4 linked regions of the Drosophila melanogaster genome follow. Changing the gene in region 2 together with the main gene of any one other region gives a genetic interaction. Each region holds a gene or a part of one and is shown on either strand. Other genes may lie near its edges. The genes, in order: Itpr, Dcr-2, w and aos.

The links.
Region 1: of Dcr-2 (region 2) and Itpr, changing one enhances a phenotype caused by changing the other (phenotypic enhancement), as found in Drosophila melanogaster (one study listed by BioGRID).
Region 3: of Dcr-2 (region 2) and w, changing one suppresses a phenotype caused by changing the other (phenotypic suppression), as found in Drosophila melanogaster (3 studies listed by BioGRID).
Region 4: of Dcr-2 (region 2) and aos, changing one enhances a phenotype caused by changing the other (phenotypic enhancement), as found in Drosophila melanogaster (2 studies listed by BioGRID).

What each region holds. Positions count from the first base shown.
Region 1 is NT_033777.3:5,515,489-5,520,155, reverse strand, and holds the start of Itpr (inositol 1,4,5,-trisphosphate receptor), read right to left. Parts: upstream 3,040-4,667; 5' UTR 2,268-3,039; intron 1-2,267. Other genes in the region: Nmdar1 (NMDA receptor 1), read left to right, coding at 3,768-3,944, 4,016-4,138. UniProt on the Drosophila melanogaster protein: Receptor for inositol 1,4,5-trisphosphate, a second messenger that mediates the release of intracellular calcium. Together with MCU, has a role in oxidative stress-induced ER-mitochondria calcium transfer.
Region 2 is NT_033778.4:17,575,495-17,583,215, reverse strand, and holds the start of Dcr-2 (Dicer-2), read left to right. Parts: upstream 1-1,690; 5' UTR 1,691-1,789; coding exon 1,790-1,810; intron 1,811-1,870; coding exon 1,871-2,001; intron 2,002-2,122; coding exon 2,123-2,300; intron 2,301-2,739; coding exon 2,740-3,047; intron 3,048-3,103; coding exon 3,104-3,800; intron 3,801-3,863; coding exon 3,864-4,421; intron 4,422-4,487; coding exon 4,488-4,662; intron 4,663-4,720; coding exon 4,721-7,721. Other genes in the region: CG6484 (uncharacterized protein), read left to right, coding at 391-1,086.
Region 3 is NC_004354.4:2,790,428-2,798,047, reverse strand, and holds w (white), read left to right. Parts: upstream 1-1,581; 5' UTR 1,582-1,739; coding exon 1,740-1,811; intron 1,812-4,919; coding exon 4,920-5,193; intron 5,194-5,267; coding exon 5,268-5,922; intron 5,923-5,983; coding exon 5,984-6,299; intron 6,300-6,502; coding exon 6,503-6,634; intron 6,635-6,704; coding exon 6,705-7,319; 3' UTR 7,320-7,449; downstream 7,450-7,620. UniProt on the Drosophila melanogaster protein: ATP-dependent transporter of the ATP-binding cassette (ABC) family which transports various molecules including bioamines, neurotransmitters, metabolic intermediates and second messengers.
Region 4 is NT_037436.4:16,480,612-16,485,368, forward strand, and holds the start of aos (argos), read right to left. Parts: upstream 3,040-4,757; 5' UTR 2,466-3,039; coding exon 2,070-2,465; intron 1-2,069. UniProt on the Drosophila melanogaster protein: Regulates cell determination; development of ommatidia and optic lobe. Is a signaling molecule involved in the process of axon pathfinding in the eye. Part of the Ras pathway regulating programmed cell death in pupal eyes; activated by lozenge (lz).

The sequences.
Region 1 (4,667 bases), on a different chromosome or scaffold from region 2:
CTCGGCCCACCTGAGCAGAAAAAACGTGAAGCACACAGATACTCACACAATCACACCAGACTGGCGCTGATGAGAACACTTTGCTTCTCATCCAGTCTGCTTCATTGATAACACCCGACCTCCGCATCCGAACAAACACACACACACCCTTAATAATTGCAGCCAAGTGGGCTGTGCACATCGGATGGGCGGGGGGCGGGCGCTTATATTTTATTTGCAGCTCCAGAATGTCGCTTACACAATTTGCCTGTTTATGTTAATTGCTGGCGCTCCCAGGCGCCAACCCCGGCCACTTTACCGCCCCCCCTTCCACAAAATCCCCACCAGCTGCTCAATTCAGCTTCGAATTATGCACATGCTCATGGCAAGCCCACATAAATTGGAGCAAACACACGATTGTGGTCAAAAAAATAAGCATACCTGAGAATCTTCAATGTGTTTTATTTATTTAATGTAATATCTTTGTGGTCAGTTTGTTTAAATGGTGACAAGTGGCAAAACTGAACAAATTTGGCTGGTTGGTAAAATTTATTGATTAAAAATCATGCACAAACGTTATCAGTATGTCAAATGCAATTATACGACAACTTTTGGAGAATTATCAACTACAGTTGAGGGATTCTGAGAGAATAACAAAAACAAATTGTGAATTTTTTAACTCTTTATATTAAAATTGATGACATCTGAATCGTGGTTAAAGAGAAAATAGTTGTCAAGTTCCAACTTTTTTTTTTAAATATACATATATAATTGCACAAAAACATAATAATCAAAAAAATTTTAATACTATACCGAACTAGCGTTTAAAAATTAGAATATATATGTACATTTTCTAGCCGGTTGATCAAAGTACCCGCAAATGACATCTCAATTGACTGGTTATCTTCAATAAATGAAACTCACTGCACATACTATCTATTGGTCCCATTGATTGTATAATTTAGTAATTTGTTCGACATTATAATGTGAATATAATTGATCGTAATTGTGTGATCATAGGCCCATTAACCCAATCATGATTACATGCAAATCAAGAAGTAGTGAAGTGCGCTCTTTCAATCGCAACAAAAAAACTTGGCCAGAGAGGAATTTGGCGATGAAAAGCCATTTTTTTACCCCAGGTAATGGAAATCATCGCGTGCAGCAGGCTCAACACGTCCACTTTTCATCCCCCTCCCCCATCTTTTTTGGTATCCCTCATCTTGCCTCTTACTCTATAGCTCGCCACCTGCCCAGTCAACACCAACAACAATGTGGCGCTTAATTAAGCACGCGTCGCCCAGTCAGCATCTCTCTTTCTCTCTCTCCCTTTCGCTCTCTCTCTCTTTTCCGCTGTCTGCAATCAAGATGTGTGCACTGAGAGAAAATATCGGCGCTAAGTTGATTTTCTCGAACGCAGATGCATTCAGTTCAGAGGACGTCAAGTGAGAAATTTCCAAAAGTGATTTGCATAACTTTAGGAACTGACAAAGAAATATTAGGATTAAAAAAATCCAAACTTTTCTCGAAACTGTGGGCGTGACTGTTTTGAACGGTTTGTGGGCGTTAGAGTGGGCGCGGACGTTGTGAATTAAACTTGCACATCTAGATTTTATAGATCCCGAAATCTCGATCTGATCAATAATATATGTATCCGGTATACCCTTTCACTCTACGAGTAAATACGAGTTTTAATTATGACTATGTTACTTCGTCATTATAATTCTTAAACACTCCCATTTGAAGAATTTTTGTATAACAACAAACAATCCCTCTCACCACAAAACAATTTTGGAAAGCATCACGTTCATATACATAGTGGCTTGAGTTGAAATCAACACTTGACTTCGGAGTTGATTCCCTAAGGATTTATTTATATTTTGTTTGAGTAGCTGGCATAGAACCATACCCCCGATAAGCAAATGTCTTCAATCAGTGGGATTTATATGTTTTTTCCTTAGCTTTTCTATTCGTGTAAGCAACAAATAGTGGCCACTGCAACGTAATTGAATCTCAGCGCATTTCTGGCCCTTTCGCTTTGGCTTATTGTCAATTATTGAGCGAAAGCAAGAGGCAAGAACGAAATCAAAATCAAGTGGGATCAAAAGGCGAGGGCGTGACTGCTAGATAATAGCTATCGCGGTAATTAGCCTATCGGTTCGGTCGTGATAGGCTTATTGCCTTATGACCTACTTAAATTGGTGGCAAGCCCTTCGGGAAACCAGAAAAACCAGTAACTGGGCTCGATTGGCAACAGGTTGTCGTTGTCGTTGTCGTGGGATACTCACCGTAGAATGTATGTAATGTAAAATATCCCTTGTAGAGATGTGCTACTGTATTGTGATTGGTATTGAATCATCCGTCGATAGACGACGATCGTAAATCGAATTTGACTTTATATTTATTTTATTCAAATGCAAACACTCGCGGGCACTCGAAAGAACTTAATATATTTTCACCTTGAGTGGGCCGCACTTAGCCGCGGAAAAGAGAGAATAACAATAAGTGGGAATACGGTGAGGAGGAAGAAGAAGGCCCAGAAACCACACACAATAACAATAACAATGCCGGGGCAGCGACGTCGGCAGAGGAGGTTTTGTCAATAAGAAATAACCGTTAAAACACGCGACAAACAATTCCGGCTGCGGGAAAGAGAGGCAGCATGCGATACAACGTCAACAATCGGCTCTCCCGACCCCACGATCCCGTTGACCACCCACAAGCAGCGCAGTCGCAGCGCAGCAGCAGCGCGGGCAAACAAAACGATTGTCGATTTCTACGCACTTTTCCCAATCACGCACACACACCCACACACGCACGTCGCGTTTAGGCCAACAAATTGAAATTGGCCAGCATTTCGGGCATAAATTACGCGCTCAAGGCGTATGAAAATGCAATTTTCCAGAGCGCCGCGTCATGCGCGACTTCGTGTACCGTACCGCTCAGCTCCTCCGTCTCCCTCACTCCAACGAAGTGCCAGCGCAGCGCAGATAAGGCGGACCGACGCGGAAAACCCCAGCGAAAACACGTCCGACTGAAAGCGCGGTCGAGCAACAAGTGTTTAAAAACCGTCGAACCATATGATCGATTAGTGTGACCGCGCGAAAAATACTAGTTAGCCGTTAATAAATGGTGTAATTGACATCTTAACTGTTTTATGCACACATATATAGAATTATTGACAGTAACACGTTAATTGCATTTACTATTGACAAGGAATGACATAAGCAAGTGTTTGAAAACCGCAGAACCAACCATATGATAAATTAGATGGGAGCGCATGGATAAAATACTAACATACTCTAAATACTAGTTAGCATGGCAGCACAGGGTAGAGATTTGAATCTTATTCAAATATTCATAGTTTTTTAGTCATCTGTGCTTGAAAATTCCAGATCAATGTTGATAGATTGGCCGAGGATTAAAATCTTTCCACTCATCGACTCACATACTTAGATTTTGCTTCTAATGCCTATTAACACAATGAAATGGTCACTCTAACGATCTTGCGTTGGTATTCATTTTTTCGCGATCTGGCATTACCACATATGTAAGAAAACACCGCGAATTCAAAGTTCTGCTTTTTCAAAAATGAGCAAAATAAACTTTAAGAAATCTTGTCTTTGACCATTCTCATTGCTGCAATGGGAAATGGAAAATGCCATTAATATGCGGCATCTCCCCTTTTCGACTTGCAGAAAATGCTGGATGTTTGCTCGAGAAACCATTGAAATCGTTGCACAAAACACCTCGTTTATCCTCCCCCAGAAACTATAGACTTCCGCATCATGGCTATGGCTGAGTTTGTTTTTTGCCGGCCATTGTTTGGGCTCGCCATTGTTCTCCTGGTGGCGCCAATTGATGCCGCCCAGAGGCACACTGCCTCGGATAATCCCTCGACGTACAACATTGGCGGCGTACTGAGCAATTCCGACAGCGAGGAGCACTTTAGCACCACAATAAAGGCAAGCCCATTGACTAACTGGATGCTCCACTAATCCGAATGCGATAATCACGCTTTCCCATCCAACCGCAGCACCTCAACTTCGATCAGCAGTATGTGCCGCGGAAGGTCACCTACTACGACAAAACCATCCGCATGGACAAGAATCCCATCAAGACGGTCTTCAATGTGTGCGACAAGCTCATCGAGAATCGGGTAAGTCGGTGGCCAAATGCAATTACCTGCTCATTTCCGACCATTCCTCCATCGCTTGAAGCTGCTCACATACTCGTATCTGTGTTTAACCCGACCTGGTTCGATTCATTTCCATAATTTAAGGGGAAATGATTCGGAAATGGGATGATGACAAGCGGTAATGCGCCAGCAGAATCCAATATCCATGAGCTAACCAACTGGAGCTCTTAGAGCGAAAGAGTGCTTAAATGTGCAAATTGAACTATAATTATACAATATTACTTTAAATGCGTTTTGTTGTTATGAACCAGGTTTGCAGAATGATATATAGAAGGAGTTTGTAGGGGTTTGGTTATTAGAAAGCTAAGATTTATAATCATAATTATCTTTTTAATTATTGATGGTCTTTAGTTGAGCTAAGTGATTTACAATATTGTCTACTATTTGGCAACATTAAAGTATTATCGGTACTTATTTGTCACTTATTCTAAATAAAAATATATAATATTACAAACTGGGTACAAATGTAAAGAACCATTCAAATGAAATA
Region 2 (7,721 bases):
ATCAATCAATCAAAATCGATCGATATTGAAGGCATAAAGAAACTTTATAAAGGGTTCGCAGGGCTTTAACAGATTTATTACTCTTTCCATTATCACACAATCGGAAGTGATACATACATATACTTACCCTGATAAAAGAAATGTTGTAAATTCAGATAGTATATAATATTTTGTTTTCATTCATTAAGATTTTCAATAACTTGAACCAAGATAGGGTTTGCATTAAACTTAAACGATTTCGTAGTTAAACTACATATGAACACAGGTACGTAATTTGTTTCCATTATTCCATTTAGTAATCAGTGTAGCAGATACTACTTATCATACCTAATAAATACATTGATTTTGGTGAAGATTAGAAAATAATACGTGGTCTTATTTTTATTGCAGGTCAACATTCTGTCCTCCCTTCGTCGACCCATCGTCCTGAAGGGTCTTGGAATCGCTGTGCTCCTGCAGGTCTTCCAGCAGTGGACGGGAATCAACGCCGTTCTCTTCTACTCCGCCTCCATTTTCGAGGATACGGGCTCTGACATAAGTGGCAGCGATGCCACGCTTATCATTGGAGTCACCCAAGTGACCAGCACGCTGGTTGCCGTGGCCATTATCGACAAGGCTGGCCGTCGCATCCTGCTCCTTATCTCTGGCGTTCTGATGGCCGTGTCCACTGCACTGATGGGCGTGTACTTTCAGCTAAAGGAGAACGATCCGGCTTCAATGGACAATTTCGGTTGGTTGCCGATCAGCAGTATCTGCATTTTCATAATCTTCTTCTCGATTGGATTCGGACCGGTGCCGTGGCTGGTGATGGCGGAACTCTTCTCGGAGGATGTGAAGAGTGTGGCAGGATCGATTGCCGGCACCAGCAACTGGCTGTCGGCCTTCGTGGTCACGCTGCTCTTCCCAATCCTCAAGAGCTCGATCGGGCCGGGTCCGACCTTTTGGATCTTTACCGCGATCGCGGTCATCGCCTTCTTCTACTCTCTGTTCTTCGTGCCGGAGACCAAGGGCAAGACAATAATCGAAATCCAGGACCTGCTGTCCGGAGGAAAGGGTGTCAAAAGTGATGACAAGAGCCAGACGTGATGATGTCGCGTAGTCTTAGTCGTAGCGATACTTTTTCATATTCTCCTTAAGCCAATAAGAAAATGTTATGTATAAGAAGTGAAGAGCATAATCAATAAAGTAGAATCACCATGTATATAAACTACCCGATTGAATTTTCGTTCATTTCCGTCAGTGTAGTTCTAATTAGACTCAATTAGTATAATTCTAATTAGTTTGACAAGATTTTAAGTCTTGGAAAAAAATGAGGAAATAAGAAACTTTACTCGTATGGAGGAGGGCTGCAAACGAAGGTCTAAATGATCTAAGGATAGTATGGGTCAAAAAGTGATGTGATATATTCTTAACAATTGGTATTGATTAAGAATTCAAATAATAAATAATTCACGAACTTACACTACCGAAAATGCTTATTATTTTGTTGCAGATTTCGATAAAAATGGAAACGTTTATTATTTCCGGAAGGTATATTATTGGCAGCGAGCATTTCAAAACAAATTTATTTATGTTGCGGTTTGTGGTAATAATTTAAGTTCAAAGAACCGCACTGCGTAGTGTGACCAGTCCGTTTTGAAACACAATTCTTAATACGTTTGACACAAGGCATCTTATAAGAGCCGCTGGCCACTCTGTCACCGGCTTCTTTGTTCTTTAATCGTAAATTATTTGACTTCAAATTGTAATATCAAAATATCCCGAAGACTCTGTAACCAAGAGCGAAGATATGGAAGATGTGGAAATCAAGGTAAAATGAATTGGCTTGCGCTCTCGCTTATTGCAAAATAATTAACAAAATCCTTTCCAGCCTCGCGGCTATCAACTTCGCCTGGTTGACCACCTAACGAAGAGCAATGGCATTGTCTACCTGCCCACAGGATCTGGGAAAACGTTCGTGGCCATCCTGGTCCTAAAGCGCTTCTCGCAGGACTTTGACAAGTTAGTAGCGAATGGATATACATATATATATTATTATATGTATTACCTATATCCGATACTTACATTTATATATATATTATTATATGTAATACCTATATCGGATTCCGATTTGTTTACACAGACCCATCGAAAGCGGCGGAAAGCGTGCGTTGTTCATGTGCAATACTGTGGAATTGGCCCGACAACAGGCGATGGCCGTCAGGCGGTGCACCAACTTTAAGGTTGGCTTTTATGTGGGTGAACAGGGAGTGGATGACTGGACGCGCGGAATGTGGAGTGATGAAATCAAAAAAAACCAAGTGAGTATAGGATGGCGGAGGCATTTTTTATATACGCATATGATCACGTACGGACTAAACACTACACTACCACTACACACTGCAATTGCGATCACCACTTGAGTCGAAAAATTTGGGATCAGCATTTTTATGGGCTCGTAAGGGGTCGTGTTTTGCTAAGCCATCACAAAATCATCATTTCGTCAATTGATGTATTTTATTTGTTTTTTTTTTTTTTTGTAGTATGTTTATTTGTTTATTTATTTATTTTATTTGTTTATTTAAAATTAACTTGAGTTTGTGGATTGTTCTGGATCATCGAGTAGTAGATTTGATGGTCATTTTTATTACATTGAATTCATGTTAGACTTTTCAGTGTAATTCGAGGAATATTTATAGTTAATAATAATACACTGCTTCCAGAATTAAACCTACATGTGTAATTTTTGGTTCTTAACAGGTTCTTGTTGGCACAGCCCAGGTCTTTTTGGACATGGTCACCCAGACGTACGTGGCTTTAAGCTCCCTGAGCGTTGTCATCATAGACGAGTGCCACCACGGCACTGGTCACCACCCATTTCGTGAGTTCATGCGATTGTTCACTATCGCTAATCAAACAAAATTGCCGCGCGTGGTGGGTCTCACCGGGGTGTTAATCAAGGGAAATGAAATTACGAACGTGGCCACGAAACTTAAAGAGCTAGAGATCACATATCGGGGAAACATCATTACCGTGTCCGACACCAAGGAGATGGAAAACGTGATGCTGTAAGAGCGGGTGGCATTTTAGCTACAGTTTCCCAACAAGTGCATATTCTTTTCAGGTACGCCACCAAGCCCACAGAGGTCATGGTGTCCTTTCCACATCAAGAGCAAGTGCTCACGGTTACAAGGTTAATAAGCGCAGAAATTGAAAAGTTCTATGTATCCTTAGACCTCATGAATATTGGCGTTCAACCGATCCGAAGGTCAAAGTCATTGCAATGCCTGCGGGATCCGTCGAAGAAGAGCTTTGTAAAGCAACTGTTCAACGATTTTCTGTACCAGATGAAAGAGTATGGCATCTACGCAGCTTCCATAGCCATAATCTCGTTAATTGTTGAGTTCGATATAAAGAGGCGCCAGGCCGAGACGCTAAGCGTGAAATTGATGCATAGGACGGCCTTGACCTTGTGCGAGAAAATCCGTCACTTGCTGGTGCAAAAACTGCAAGACATGACTTATGACGACGACGATGACAACGTAAACACTGAGGAAGTCATTATGAACTTCTCCACCCCGAAAGTGCAGCGATTCCTGATGAGTCTTAAGGTATCCTTCGCTGATAAAGATCCCAAAGATATCTGCTGTCTGGTCTTTGTTGAACGCCGCTACACCTGCAAGTGCATCTATGGCTTGCTGCTCAACTACATCCAGTCTACGCCTGAGCTGCGAAACGTGCTCACGCCCCAATTCATGGTGGGCCGCAACAATATTTCTCCAGACTTTGAGAGCGTCTTGGAGAGAAAATGGCAAAAATCTGTAGGTGTGGAAATTATCGTTAATTGCTGATATTTTTCAAAATATGCTCTTACCGTCTCGCAGGCCATTCAGCAGTTTCGGGACGGTAATGCCAATCTTATGATATGTTCAAGCGTCCTAGAAGAAGGCATCGATGTGCAGGCCTGCAATCATGTCTTTATTCTTGATCCTGTTAAAACCTTTAACATGTACGTGCAGTCAAAGGGTCGGGCTCGTACCACTGAGGCCAAATTCGTGCTGTTCACAGCTGATAAGGAAAGGGAAAAGACAATTCAGCAAATTTATCAGTATCGAAAAGCGCATAATGACATTGCCGAATATTTAAAGGATCGAGTTCTAGAAAAAACTGAGCCAGAATTGTACGAAATCAAAGGGCACTTCCAGGACGATATTGACCCTTTTACCAATGAGAACGGTGCCGTGTTGCTTCCCAACAATGCCCTGGCCATACTGCATCGCTATTGCCAGACAATTCCCACGGATGCTTTTGGCTTTGTGATCCCCTGGTTCCATGTATTGCAAGAAGACGAACGTGATAGAATATTTGGTGTTTCTGCCAAGGGCAAGCACGTAATTTCAATCAACATGCCAGTAAATTGCATGCTAAGAGACACAATTTACGTAAGCTAGAGATTCAGATTGAAAATGGCAAAATCAAATAGAGTTAATTGCTTTCATTTCTTTCAGAGCGATCCCATGGACAATGTTAAAACAGCCAAAATATCAGCTGCCTTCAAAGCGTGTAAAGTACTCTACAGTTTGGGAGAGTTAAACGAGAGATTCGTGCCCAAAACATTAAAGGAGCGCGTAGCCTCTATTGCTGATGTTCATTTTGAGCACTGGAATAAGTATGGCGATAGTGGTGGGTTCACAAGAACTCGCATAAGATATGTTTACTTATATTAATCTTTCAACCATAGTGACTGCGACAGTCAACAAGGCCGATAAGAGCAAGGACAGAACCTACAAGACCGAATGTCCATTAGAGTTTTACGACGCACTTCCGCGGGTAGGTGAAATCTGTTATGCCTACGAAATATTTTTGGAGCCGCAGTTTGAATCGTGTGAGTACACGGAACACATGTATTTAAATCTCCAAACACCAAGAAATTATGCTATATTGCTGCGGAACAAGCTGCCACGCCTTGCAGAGATGCCCCTGTTTAGCAATCAGGGTAAGCTACACGTTCGAGTGGCCAATGCACCACTTGAAGTAATTATCCAGAACTCCGAACAGCTGGAGCTGCTCCATCAGTTTCACGGAATGGTATTCCGCGATATCTTGAAGATTTGGCATCCGTTCTTTGTGCTGGATCGTCGCAGCAAGGAGAACTCCTACCTGGTAGTTCCTCTCATACTGGGTGCGGGTGAACAGAAATGCTTTGACTGGGAACTGATGACCAACTTCCGAAGACTACCGCAAAGTCATGGGTCAAATGTACAGCAACGCGAGCAACAACCTGCTCCACGTCCTGAAGATTTTGAGGGCAAAATTGTTACACAATGGTATGCCAACTATGATAAGCCCATGCTGGTCACAAAGGTGCACCGTGAGCTAACACCGTTAAGTTATATGGAAAAGAACCAACAGGACAAGACCTACTACGAGTTTACCATGTCAAAGTACGGCAACCGCATTGGTGATGTTGTTCACAAGGATAAGTTTATGATCGAGGTCAGAGACCTTACGGAACAGCTCACTTTCTACGTTCATAATCGTGGAAAGTTCAACGCGAAGAGCAAGGCTAAGATGAAAGTTATTTTGATTCCGGAGCTATGCTTCAATTTTAACTTTCCTGGGGATTTATGGCTTAAGTTGATCTTCCTACCCAGCATTTTAAACCGCATGTACTTCCTTCTCCACGCAGAGGCCTTACGTAAGCGATTTAATACGTATTTAAACCTCCATCTGCTGCCTTTTAATGGAACTGATTACATGCCCAGACCACTAGAAATTGATTATTCGCTAAAGCGGAATGTCGACCCCTTGGGCAATGTCATACCAACTGAGGATATCGAGGAGCCGAAATCCCTTTTAGAGCCAATGCCCACAAAGTCCATTGAGGCGTCCGTGGCCAATCTTGAAATAACAGAATTCGAAAATCCCTGGCAAAAGTATATGGAGCCGGTTGATCTGTCGCGAAATCTTTTGAGTACGTATCCCGTAGAGCTGGACTACTACTATCATTTTAGCGTTGGTAATGTATGTGAGATGAATGAGATGGATTTTGAAGATAAGGAATACTGGGCAAAAAATCAGTTCCATATGCCCACGGGTAATATCTATGGCAACAGAACTCCGGCCAAGACTAACGCAAACGTGCCAGCTTTGATGCCGTCGAAACCGACTGTCCGCGGGAAGGTAAAACCACTGCTCATTTTGCAAAAAACTGTTTCCAAAGAACATATAACGCCAGCGGAGCAGGGCGAGTTTTTGGCTGCAATCACTGCCTCGAGCGCAGCGGATGTTTTCGACATGGAACGCCTTGAGATTCTGGGCGATTCCTTCTTAAAACTTAGTGCCACGCTCTACTTGGCCAGCAAGTATTCGGATTGGAATGAGGGCACTCTTACAGAGGTCAAATCCAAGCTTGTGTCTAATCGTAACCTGTTGTTCTGCCTCATCGACGCGGACATTCCCAAAACGCTCAACACCATTCAGTTTACGCCTAGATACACATGGCTTCCACCTGGCATCAGTTTGCCCCACAATGTTCTAGCCTTGTGGCGAGAAAATCCGGAATTCGCAAAGATTATTGGCCCACACAATCTCCGTGACTTGGCTCTCGGCGATGAGGAGTCCCTGGTGAAGGGCAACTGCAGCGATATCAACTACAACCGCTTCGTGGAGGGATGTCGAGCAAATGGGCAGTCCTTTTATGCCGGTGCCGATTTTTCATCCGAGGTGAACTTCTGCGTGGGACTGGTCACGATTCCCAACAAGGTGATAGCCGATACCCTTGAGGCGCTATTGGGCGTAATCGTTAAGAACTACGGATTGCAGCATGCCTTCAAGATGCTAGAGTACTTCAAGATTTGCCGTGCGGATATTGACAAGCCGCTTACTCAGTTACTGAACCTCGAACTGGGCGGCAAGAAAATGCGGGCGAACGTGAATACTACAGAAATTGACGGCTTTCTCATAAATCACTATTATTTGGAAAAAAATCTTGGCTACACGTTTAAGGATCGACGATATTTGTTGCAGGCCCTCACCCATCCCTCGTATCCCACTAATCGCATCACTGGGTCCTATCAGGAGCTGGAATTTATTGGCGATGCCATACTCGACTTTCTAATCTCTGCCTATATTTTCGAGAACAATACGAAAATGAATCCGGGCGCCCTCACAGATCTGCGTTCCGCTTTGGTCAACAATACTACGCTGGCCTGCATTTGCGTGCGGCATCGGTTGCACTTTTTTATCCTAGCGGAGAACGCAAAGCTCTCCGAGATCATATCCAAATTCGTGAATTTCCAGGAGAGCCAGGGTCACCGGGTTACCAACTATGTGCGCATTCTGCTCGAGGAAGCTGATGTTCAGCCGACTCCGCTGGACTTGGATGACGAATTGGATATGACTGAGTTACCGCATGCAAATAAATGCATTTCTCAGGAAGCAGAGAAAGGAGTCCCACCAAAAGGTGAGTTCAACATGTCCACAAACGTGGATGTGCCAAAGGCGTTGGGGGATGTTCTGGAGGCCCTTATTGCAGCCGTATACCTGGACTGCCGAGATCTCCAACGTACTTGGGAGGTAATTTTCAATCTCTTCGAGCCGGAGCTTCAGGAGTTCACGCGCAAAGTGCCCATCAATCATATACGACAGCTCGTTGAGCACAAGCATGCGAAGCCCGTGTTTAGCTCGCCCATCGTCGAAGGGGAAACTGTAATGGTTAGTTGTCAATTTACCTGCATGGA
Region 3 (7,620 bases), on a different chromosome or scaffold from region 2:
GCTAATAAGCAAAAATCAAGTTAAGGCCACTCTAAAAAAAATGAACTGCATACTTATACGTATGCAATTAACTTTATTATTGATTTAGAGCGCATAAAAACGGCAAACTAATTAATTACAGCATTCCCTTAGAGCATTTCATAATCGGTTTTAAGCACTTTTTGTTGTAATGCCATTTTTCAGCTCTTTCGCTGCTGCGACAGGCGAGTGACAATAAATTGTTAAGTGCAAAAAGTTTACAGCATTTGAGTGAGTTAGTAATGGCAAACACACACGAACACGAACTTCAAGACGGTCTAAACCCGATTCGAGCTCCACTCAACCAACATCGAAGAAGCCCCATAAGTGTCACTGAGCGAAAAACTCGGTTAGTTGGCAAAAATGAGTGAAACATTGACGTTTCTTTGTTGTCTGTCGCTAGATCGGCCCACAAAGGAAGTCTCTTACGAATCGTACATACATCTAACTTTGAGTCAGCTAAAGATCTTCAGTGAAATAGGAAAATCATTTATTTCGAACTTTGAAGCTGTTGTAGAGCAGAACATATATGCATTAAAACTGGCACATGAAATAATGTTACTAGTGCTGAGTGAGACTTCTACAAATATCACATGCATATGCATAATTAACTTGCAAATCGAATCAAAAGCTATTATTCTGAGCTAAACTCTCAAAAGAAAACCATATTCATTTGAAGACCACTTAATCGTCGTCAGCAAATTAATTCCTGCAGATTCCTCGGCAACTGCAACTGCTAACCTGTTACCACATCGTCCGTGAAAATGGTATTGATAGCCTCCCGGAAAACCCGTCCCAGTCGAGATCCATATCCTGGACCAACTGGCCCCGATGATGAAGATTGATAATGCCCGGACAGCTGATGGCGGCAGTTCATGATTCCGGGGCCTGAGATGAGGTGCTAACGATGACGACAACGACCGGAGTGTCCGAAGTACGGGTGCGGATAGGCGTACGGGAAACGGGGAGTGCGGAATGCGCATCATCAACAGTCGCCGTTTGATAAATCATGCATGCAAAGTACAGTGCAAACCCCCGAAACGGGACGACAACAGGCGGATTAACAAGAACTCTCTTATTCACGATAAGAAGACGCTTCCCACTCAACCTAATCAGTATTCAAAGACAGCCACTCAGCTTATGAGTACTGCCCAGGTGGGGTACTATCATATTGGTGCAAAGGTGGTCGAATTTTTAATTATTTTGAACGGAACACATTAGCTAAACATAAACATGTTGTCACTAGTATGTATGTAAGTTAATAAAACCCATTTTTGCGGAAAGTAGATAAAAAAAACATTTTTTTTTTTTACTGCACTGGATATCATTGAACTTATCTGATCAGTTTTAAATTTACTTCGATCCAAGGGTATTTGATGTACCAGGTTCTTTCGATTACCTCTCACTCAAAATGACATTCCACTCAAAGTCAGCGCTGTTTGCCTCCTTCTCTGTCCACAGAAATATCGCCGTCTCTTTCGCCGCTGCGTCCGCTATCTCTTTCGCCACCGTTTGTAGCGTTACGTAGCGTCAATGTCCGCCTTCAGTTGCATTTTGTCAGCGGTTTCGTGACGAAGCTCCAAGCGGTTTACGCCATCAATTAAACACAAAGTGCTGTGCCAAAACTCCTCTCGCTTCTTATTTTTGTTTGTTTTTTGAGTGATTGGGGTGGTGATTGGTTTTGGGTGGGTAAGCAGGGGAAAGTGTGAAAAATCCCGGCAATGGGCCAAGAGGATCAGGAGCTATTAATTCGCGGAGGCAGCAAACACCCATCTGCCGAGCATCTGAACAATGTGAGTAGTACATGTGCATACATCTTAAGTTCACTTGATCTATAGGAACTGCGATTGCAACATCAAATTGTCTGCGGCGTGAGAACTGCGACCCACAAAAATCCCAAACCGCAATTGCACAAACAAATAGTGACACGAAACAGATTATTCTGGTAGCTGTTCTCGCTATATAAGACAATTTTTGAGATCATATCATGATCAAGACATCTAAAGGCATTCATTTTCGACTATATTCTTTTTTACAAAAAATATAACAACCAGATATTTTAAGCTTACCATGAAGTCCTCATTTCTTCCACCTTTCATTCTCAAATATTTTCTTGCTACACTACACTACACTACACTACATTATACATCGACCCCAAATAGTTGGATGTAGTAGATCGTAATTAGGGACGCATAACCAGTGGTGGCGTGGGAGGAGTCGGCTTAAGTTGGCCAACAACATTGCTGGGTGTCTATAACTCTAGGCTTGCCAAGATACTAGATACTGTATCCGTATCCATTTCTGGTTGTGTACTCGCATCTTCTACCTGATCTTAATACCTCGTTGTTTGCACGTCTCGCTCGACGAAAAATGTACAATCTAGTCTTATCTGGGTCATTATTTGGCTAGACGAATGCTTTGGGCTCAGCATCTGATATCTAGGTATCTTCGTGCGTATCTTGCTTTAAATTCTTAGCACCTCGGCTTGTATAACAAAATAAATAAGTGAGTACGATTTGCATATCTAGCCCCGGGCTCTTTGAAACAATTTTGAAAAGTCTCAAAAAGTTATACAAGGAGATAAGAACTTTAATTCTTTTGGGAAGTAAGTAACGCAGTAAAGGTAACAAAGTATTGAAAAATATGATATGTATGGAATATTTGAAGCCATCTTTAATTATATGTTCGTTGCATATATGTACATATTGGGCCGTTTACGCTCTGATATTTCCTTAATAATATCGAGTGGTCGTCAGCTTTTCCGCTGAATAATTGCGCCTCCTTCAGTATTTCGTTCTCATCAAAGTGAATGACTTTTGAGTGCACTCATTAGCCACTCGCACAATCGACAAAACGGGAGGAACAACAAATTGAGTCGCTTCTTTATTCAGTCATTTCAATTTGTCAAGTTCATCACGATACTCCTTCGCCTCCCTGCACAGCGCCATCTAGCGCCCACTCCTCGAGTTTCCTTCGTATTTCGTAAGTAATTCAAAAATAGCACGCAAAGTAAATAAAAAAAAAAGTAAGCCAAAAAATTAAATAAATATGAAATGTAGCATCTTTCGCTACTTATTTCAACAAAATACGAAAATAGGGAAAAGGTGGGAGAGTAAACCAGAGGAGGCAGGGAGATAAGAAAACCCAGTGGGAAAGGGACGGCGAAAACAGAAAAGAAAAGAAAACTTTTTAATAACATTTTTCGGCCTCATTTGTTGTGAAAACAATTTCGCCATGTCCCTCTATCTCTTTCCCAGCCATATGGCCATCTCGCTCTGCTCGAGGAGTGCCTGAAAACGGATATTACATTTTTTCGCGTCTACCTCTCGTAACGTCACCAATTGTGCTTTTTTTTTGGTAACAGGCCAAAAACTGGACACTGAGTGGCTAGAAGAATAAGCTGTCAAAGCATCGCAGCAGAAGATGAGCAGTGAAGCCTCGCTAAGGAGGAAATGCAACAGTTTTCAGGCTTTGGTCTTTTAGCTAGATTTTATATGTAGCAATGTAAACGATAAATCCAAATCCCCCAATCGTTTTGAAAAATAAATTTAATTTTAAATAGTTCAAAAAATGAAAGTTCTTAGCAGGGCTCACTGTAGCAAGGACCGCCAGGCGCTGAGTGCAAGGTGGACATTATTTTTTCTTGCTTTTATTGAATGTCAGCTTTTTATTTGGCCCTCTTCTTCGGATTTTGCCTTTCTCATTTGCTTGCATTTTTTTGCTTAATTTTTTTTATGATTATTTATACAAATTATTATGAGAGCAGCGGCGGATAAAATGCTTTCCATATTGTGGCCATCATTTTGTCTTGTTTTTTCCATTTTTTTTTTTTTTTGCCTCGACGCCAATTAGTGGATCCCTGTTATTTATGCTTTGCCGCAGGCCGCTGCGATGGCAAGAAACCCCACAAATGGAAAACGGAAAATTGTTTATGAAAATGAAAATATGCGCGAACGGAAGTGGTATGGGGCGAAAAGTTGGGGCGGGGAGGATGGCTTGATTTGACCATACCGCAAACGTCTTCGGTTACCGCCATTTCGAAAAGGGAAGCCCCACCTGGGCGAAAACTGACAGCTCAGTGGTTTTGGAAATCACTTTACCCGTAAACAAAATAACGTAAATAAGAATTTGTATTTCGGATTTATAAACTTAAACTCAATTGCAGAAGTAGTAGTTTGAACACTATTGCGTTCAACATAATTGGATCAAGTAAATGGACTGCTTTATACTGCTCATTGCACTTATCTACAAGAGATTGAGTTTTCCCACCACCCAAAAAAAGCCAAAGTATCCTTAAAGTTTTATATTTAATAAAAACAAAACTGGCGAAGCTCAAAGTCCCCAAACGAAAGCCAAAGATGCCAGCGATTTACACTCGCAATTGTCTTATGAGGTGGCAACATGGTGGAGGAACCTTGCCACTGCCACCACCCATCGTCCCATCGCCCCATCGTCCATCGCCCAACGACCTGTGACCCCGTCAACCGTCCACCGCCCACTTTCAAGGCCATCCACCAAGTGCCAGCCCTAATTTGCACATTTTAAATAGGCCTCGCCATCTCCTTTTTGGGAAACTTGGAAAACTCGGATCTTGGGCATTTTTATTAAACAGATGGGCTCCTTCTTTATAAAGCCGAGGGGGGGGGGGGGGGTTAGTGCCCGGAAACAGGGACGGCGGAGCAGGGATTGGCCAGGCTGGGCTAGATTTATGCACAGACGCCTTCATTTTTATGGACGAACGCCGTGAAATTGAAAAGTTTTCAGCTTGAAACCTTTTCTAGATGCACAAAAAATAAATAAAAGTATAAACCTACTTCGTAGGATACTTCGGGGTACTTTTTGTTCGGGGTTAGATGAGCATAACGCTTGTAGTTGATATTTGAGATCCCCTATCATTGCAGGGTGACAGCGGAGCGGCTTCGCAGAGCTGCATTAACCAGGGCTTCGGGCAGGCCAAAAACTACGGCACGCTCCGGCCACCCAGTCCGCCGGAGGACTCCGGTTCAGGGAGCGGCCAACTAGCCGAGAACCTCACCTATGCCTGGCACAATATGGACATCTTTGGGGCGGTCAATCAGCCGGGCTCCGGATGGCGGCAGCTGGTCAACCGGACACGCGGACTATTCTGCAACGAGCGACACATACCGGCGCCCAGGAAACATTTGCTCAAGAACGGTGAGTTTCTATTCGCAGTCGGCTGATCTGTGTGAAATCTTAATAAAGGGTCCAATTACCAATTTGAAACTCAGTTTGCGGCGTGGCCTATCCGGGCGAACTTTTGGCCGTGATGGGCAGTTCCGGTGCCGGAAAGACGACCCTGCTGAATGCCCTTGCCTTTCGATCGCCGCAGGGCATCCAAGTATCGCCATCCGGGATGCGACTGCTCAATGGCCAACCTGTGGACGCCAAGGAGATGCAGGCCAGGTGCGCCTATGTCCAGCAGGATGACCTCTTTATCGGCTCCCTAACGGCCAGGGAACACCTGATTTTCCAAGCCATGGTGCGGATGCCACGACATCTGACCTATCGGCAGCGAGTGGCCCGCGTGGATCAGGTGATCCAGGAGCTTTCGCTCAGCAAATGTCAGCACACGATCATCGGTGTGCCCGGCAGGGTGAAAGGTCTGTCCGGCGGAGAAAGGAAGCGTCTGGCATTCGCCTCCGAGGCTCTAACCGATCCGCCGCTTCTGATCTGCGATGAGCCCACCTCCGGACTGGACTCCTTTACCGCCCACAGCGTCGTCCAGGTGCTGAAGAAGCTGTCGCAGAAGGGCAAGACCGTCATCCTGACCATTCATCAGCCGTCTTCCGAGCTGTTTGAGCTCTTTGACAAGATCCTTCTGATGGCCGAGGGCAGGGTAGCTTTCTTGGGCACTCCCAGCGAAGCCGTCGACTTCTTTTCCTAGTGAGTTCGATGTGTTTATTAAGGGTATCTAGTATTACATAACATCTCAACTCCTATCCAGCGTGGGTGCCCAGTGTCCTACCAACTACAATCCGGCGGACTTTTACGTACAGGTGTTGGCCGTTGTGCCCGGACGGGAGATCGAGTCCCGTGATCGGATCGCCAAGATATGCGACAATTTTGCCATTAGCAAAGTAGCCCGGGATATGGAGCAGTTGTTGGCCACCAAAAATCTGGAGAAGCCACTGGAGCAGCCGGAGAATGGGTACACCTACAAGGCCACCTGGTTCATGCAGTTCCGGGCGGTCCTGTGGCGATCCTGGCTGTCGGTGCTCAAGGAACCACTCCTCGTAAAAGTGCGACTTATTCAGACAACGGTGAGTGGTTCCAGTGGAAACAAATGATATAACGCTTACAATTCTTGGAAACAAATTCGCTAGATTTTAGATAGAATTGCCTGATTCCACACCCTTCTTAGTTTTTTTCAATGAGATGTATAGTTTATAGTTTTGCAGAAGATAAATAAATTTCATTTAACTCGCGAATATTAATGAGATGCGAGTAACATTTTAATTTGCAGATGGTTGCCATCTTGATTGGCCTCATCTTTTTGGGCCAACAACTCACGCAAGTGGGTGTGATGAATATCAACGGAGCCATCTTCCTCTTCCTGACCAACATGACCTTTCAAAACGTCTTTGCCACGATAAATGTAAGTCATGTTTAGAATACATTTGCATTTCAATAATTTACTAACTTTCTAATGAATCGATTCGATTTAGGTGTTCACCTCAGAGCTGCCAGTTTTTATGAGGGAGGCCCGAAGTCGACTTTATCGCTGTGACACATACTTTCTGGGCAAAACGATTGCCGAATTGCCGCTTTTTCTCACAGTGCCACTGGTCTTCACGGCGATTGCCTATCCGATGATCGGACTGCGGGCCGGAGTGCTGCACTTCTTCAACTGCCTGGCGCTGGTCACTCTGGTGGCCAATGTGTCAACGTCCTTCGGATATCTAATATCCTGCGCCAGCTCCTCGACCTCGATGGCGCTGTCTGTGGGTCCGCCGGTTATCATACCATTCCTGCTCTTTGGCGGCTTCTTCTTGAACTCGGGCTCGGTGCCAGTATACCTCAAATGGTTGTCGTACCTCTCATGGTTCCGTTACGCCAACGAGGGTCTGCTGATTAACCAATGGGCGGACGTGGAGCCGGGCGAAATTAGCTGCACATCGTCGAACACCACGTGCCCCAGTTCGGGCAAGGTCATCCTGGAGACGCTTAACTTCTCCGCCGCCGATCTGCCGCTGGACTACGTGGGTCTGGCCATTCTCATCGTGAGCTTCCGGGTGCTCGCATATCTGGCTCTAAGACTTCGGGCCCGACGCAAGGAGTAGCCGACATATATCCGAAATAACTGCTTGTTTTTTTTTTTACCATTATTACCATCGTGTTTACTGTTTATTGCCCCCTCAAAAAGCTAATGTAATTATATTTGTGCCAATAAAAACAAGATATGACCTATAGAATACAAGTATTTCCCCTTCGAACATCCCCACAAGTAGACTTTGGATTTGTCTTCTAACCAAAAGACTTACACACCTGCATACCTTACATCAAAAACTCGTTTATCGCTACATAAAACACCGGGATATATTTTTTATATACAAACTTTTCAAATCGCGCGCCCTCTTCATA
Region 4 (4,757 bases), on a different chromosome or scaffold from region 2:
ATCGATTTAAAGTATTGAATACACTAAAGAACTTTGCTCAGTGTAGCCACTCACACATGCACCACCGCATCGCGCCCCTGACTCCCCTCCATTTCACCCATTATACCACACCATACCAAACCGTACCACCGTCATTATGACCATCATCATCGACTTCTCGTAGTCGTCGTGGTCGTATTTCATTCATGAATTTTCTTTCATTCAGGTCTTCCCCGTCTACCCGTCTCCCTCCCTCCCCCCGCTGTTGCCGTCTCCTTCTATCCCCGTCTCAGTCGTGGCTGTTGAAAACGTTTTTAAATACCGGAACTGAATGTTTAGCGCTTTTAAGCATGGGAACTTTTTGTTTTCTTCTATAAACTTTCATCTCCCTCGCTCCCAGCCTCCTTCCTCCCTCCGTCTCTTTCGTTCCCCTGCGCCTGTCTCTTTCCATTTGGCTATTTGCCTCTCTTTCCGGCTGCTCATTCACAGCCTTTTGTGGATCTATTCCGTTGTGTTCTATTCTCCAATAAGGCGTTTTTATTGCAAGTTTCCAAACAACAGGAATTCTCTGCTCAATTTTTTGTTTGTCTATTTAAGGTGTTGTGTTGTGATGCTGCTTTGTTATGCTTTTTTTTATATGTATATGCGTTCCAAAATTTATTGCATGCATTCGGATTACAAAAATTATGAACCAAGTCGAACCATAACGCCTTGGCTTGAAAGAAGGTTAAAATGGTATTATCTACTTGGGTGAGAAGTTTAAGGATACGCTTGGGCTTTTTATAAAGTTACAAATTATACCATGATTATGTTTTGATGATTATTACTTGTTACACATGTACTGATAGAAAGTTAAGAATTTCCTTGCATTGGTAATTTCTCGCCGATTATTACACACTTAGTTAGTGATCCTTTGCAAGGGTATTTCTAAGTCGAACCTTTTTGCTGCCATGCCCCTTTGGCTGACTTGGTTATGCTGTCAATATTTTGCTTTTGATTACTATTGGGTTGATACTTCACGCCTCGGCCTCGTAGAAACATCAAGCAAGAATTCGATTTTCAGGGCGTGTTCTGTCGTATGACATTTGACATAATAGATATACGATACATGATATATGACCGATCCAAGCCCCTCTCTTTCTCAATGGACACTTGATTTATGGCCAGATCGGGAGTGAGAACAATGGAACCGCGGTGACCTATGATCTGAATTCGCATTGTAGCGGATTTAAGGGGAAAGATAACGGCAAGAACTTTTTGGTGTACCGTCGGCTTAGTCATGAATAGCCAGCATTGAACTCTTGACCCGCCCGGCTAATTGGTTTTGGTATCGCTCATATCGTTCGGTTGTATGGCAATTGCGACTTTAATTGATCAAATGCGACAGATCAGTTGATGTGTTGAGCTCTCCGACTGCAAACAACTTTCATTTTTCATCTAGAGCGAGTGTGGCCGCTGCAATTAAATGTGCCATATGCGTATGGTGATATATGAATAGTGGTTTTGTGGGTGTCAAGTGTAATGGCCATAGGGCGGCTGCTAAATATAGACAGAGTTTTCTGAACAAAAGCAAAAAAATATGTAAAAATAACGAACTAAAACTCGGACCCAGCCCAAAAAAGTTGCATTGCAAAACCTGCTGTGCAGAGAAAGAAATCGTAGGTTGACTTGCGCGATGACATTTAAGATATATCTATGCTATAATACATTTGACTGATTAATTGATTAAGCTACAAATCCGAAGATAAGAGACTGTTTTGAGAGTTCTTTGATAAATTGGTATGGCAGACCGTTAGCCGATCTGCTTTTCCCTAATTTGACTGAAATTATCTAATCGATCAATATTGTTTTCTGTGTAGATGCTGCTGTTGCCGTTGATACCGCTGGCGTGGGCATTTTACAAATGGCAACCAGTTGAACAGGTGTCTGCTGACGTTGTTGCCTGCATTATGCAACCTGCCATTGCCAGTTGTTGGTTTCATTGGTACCTTGTGTTTTATTTTATGCTTTTTTACTTAGCCCCACCGATCAATGCAAACATGCAATTAGCCAGGCTAATCAAATGAATTTAGTACTTGCTAGCTACTCACCCCCACTTGGTAGAGGATGCGCACATCCCGATCGCCGTGCTTGCCGCCGATGATGCTGCGATGCTGCTGTTGTTTCTGCAACATTTGTCGCGCATGTCGCCGCGACTCGGCGAGATCCTTCTCCGCAGCCGCTGTGGAGGAAATGCTCACAACGGTCAGTTGCTCGGTGGCGGGCTTCACTGTACTGCTCGCCACTCCAGTTGCTGCCGCTGCTCCTGAAATATCTTTGGCATCGTAGACGACGGTGTACTGCAGACTCTTGTGCTTGTCCGCTGTGGATGTGGTCGGCGTAATCTCGAACACCTCGAGCGGCAGTCGCGTGCCGCCGACAGCAACGGCAGCGGCGGTCAGCAGCAACAGCAGCATGCACGGCAGCAACATCAATGTCGTAGGCATGATTTATGACTCTGACTCTGGCTGGGATCTCTGGATGTTCGAGAATCTGGATCTGGATCTTGTATTTGGATCTTGGGATCTTTCCGAATCTCCGTGCGTGTTGTTTTCTTGCGGTTTGTAATTGACACTCAATGAATTTTGTAATTGAATTCGAATCAAATCCAATCGAATCGAATCGAATCGAGTCGAATCAGTGTTCTCGCTCTATCTCACTCGCTCGCCCAGAACCCATGGCTTACATGCACACACACACTGGCAGAAACGAACTCTACAAATCAGGTTTCAAATCGAACGATCGATTGATTTGTGGCGAATGTCACTCGAAATTATTGGATATTTCATTCACTGCAATCGGTCGGTGGTCGGTAGTTTCTGTTTGCTATTTAGTAACTTAACACCCGCGACGTCGCTGTCTCCGGTGGCCTTTCGTCTCGTCTCGTTTTCGTCTTTTCTTTCGCTCCTGGAACGTATACCCAATGGTACCGATGCTATATTATATCGTATCGTATCGCCTCGGTTACTCTGCCCTCGCTCTATCGTTGTTCGCTCGACCAACTCACTTTTCGAACTGATCAAACAGAAAATCCAAAAACGAACAGCGCGCGGCGAACGAGAGCCGTTGAAGCCGGCAGAGAAGTGCGCTGCTCGCGTCGCTGCCGGTATGTGCGTGTCTGTGCACTGAGAGAAAATGCTCGATTAAACAGAGAAATTAATAGTAATATAAAAAAAAAAAAAATTTGTTTATTATTCTCAATTCAATAAAATGTAATTATTTATTATATTGGTTGTATAAGAATTTTTATAAAGTAGTATAAATTTTCAATCAAATAAATATGTACATCTAACAAAAAATGTTATTATCTTATAACAAAGAGGTAAAATCATAAGTAGTACGAAATCTTTAAAAGAGAAAGTGTGTTACGCAAAAAGTATTCAAAGCAGTCTTTTGAACCCACTGTTGTCTTTTCACATATTTGGTCAACCGAATTTGTTCCCAGTGCATGAGCGGCAGCGTCCGAACGTGAGAGAACACGAAAGAGAGTGGGCTGGATATGAATGAATGAACATGTTGTTGCTGCCTTTTTCCGCTGGTGGTTGCAGCATCCATTGCTGCTGCGCCTGTGTGCGTGCGCGCATCTGTGAGATGCATCTGTGACTAAGCGCGGCTGTATTGGTGAGAGCGAGCGGATGGCAAGGTGTCTCTGGCTCGCGTGCTTGGCTTAAAGCAAAAGCAAAAGCAACAACGAAATAAAATACAACAAAATAACAAAAAATTAAAAGGGGACTTCGCAGCCAAGCGGCTCTTGCCGCTTCCGTTGCATCCTTTCGGCCGTTTTTGCTGCCGCCGTGTTGTTTTTGTCATTTTTACTACGGCACCGGAAACTAATTCCTGCCTTAGCCACAACGACCTGGACTTGGGCCGCCGCCTCCTCCTGGCCTTCATCGTTCAACCTTCTCCTTTTGCCATGGTTTCATGTTTGGGCCTTATTCTTGTAGCGCATGCCAAAAAAAGAACAACTGGAGAAGAATCCAGAAAAGAGTTTAACACAAAAGGAAGATCGAGCTTAAAGTCGATGCTTTAAATGCCCTTCGAAACAAAGCTTTAGTGGCGAACTGGCTTATAAAATCGGCTAATAAACCGCTAATTACCTTGGTAATTACAGATCATAAAGTTTAAATGGATTTGGGTCTATCAATAAACTTTTATAGTAATACATGCTTGAGAGTTGCAAGAAAATGTAATGTTTATTTAACACCAATTTTTATACTACAATACATTTATAATGTAAAAGTAATGTAACAATGTTAAAAAAAAAGTTTCGTATTTTTGGCGTGCCTTTGATAACTTGATTGTCAATTTGTGAGGTTTTCAAAAAAGTCTGTTTCGTTAGTCTTTTTTTTTTTGTTTGGGTTGTTCCTTTGTGATTATTCCTTTCAATATTCTTCTAAAAAAAATATGAATGCCCCAAGATAGTGTATATGGAGAGTACGAGAGAGACCTGGAAACGATCTTCATCTCCATCTTCAGCTTGGAAGTTCAAGCGAAAAACGCGCGAGGTTCGGCAGAAAGCCCGCCAATTTTATGGGCCAAACCCGATAAGATTTCATTTGTTTACGAGTTACCTTGAGACGCGCCAGAAACAACAACAATAGCCAAAACAACAACAATACAAGAACACAAGAAAGAGCTGGCGATATAGGAGCATTAAGCAGAACCGACAACTCCAACTGAAAGGCGGCCATTGTTAGTTGGAGGTGGTTTCCCTTTTCCCTGTTCCATTTAACCTTTTC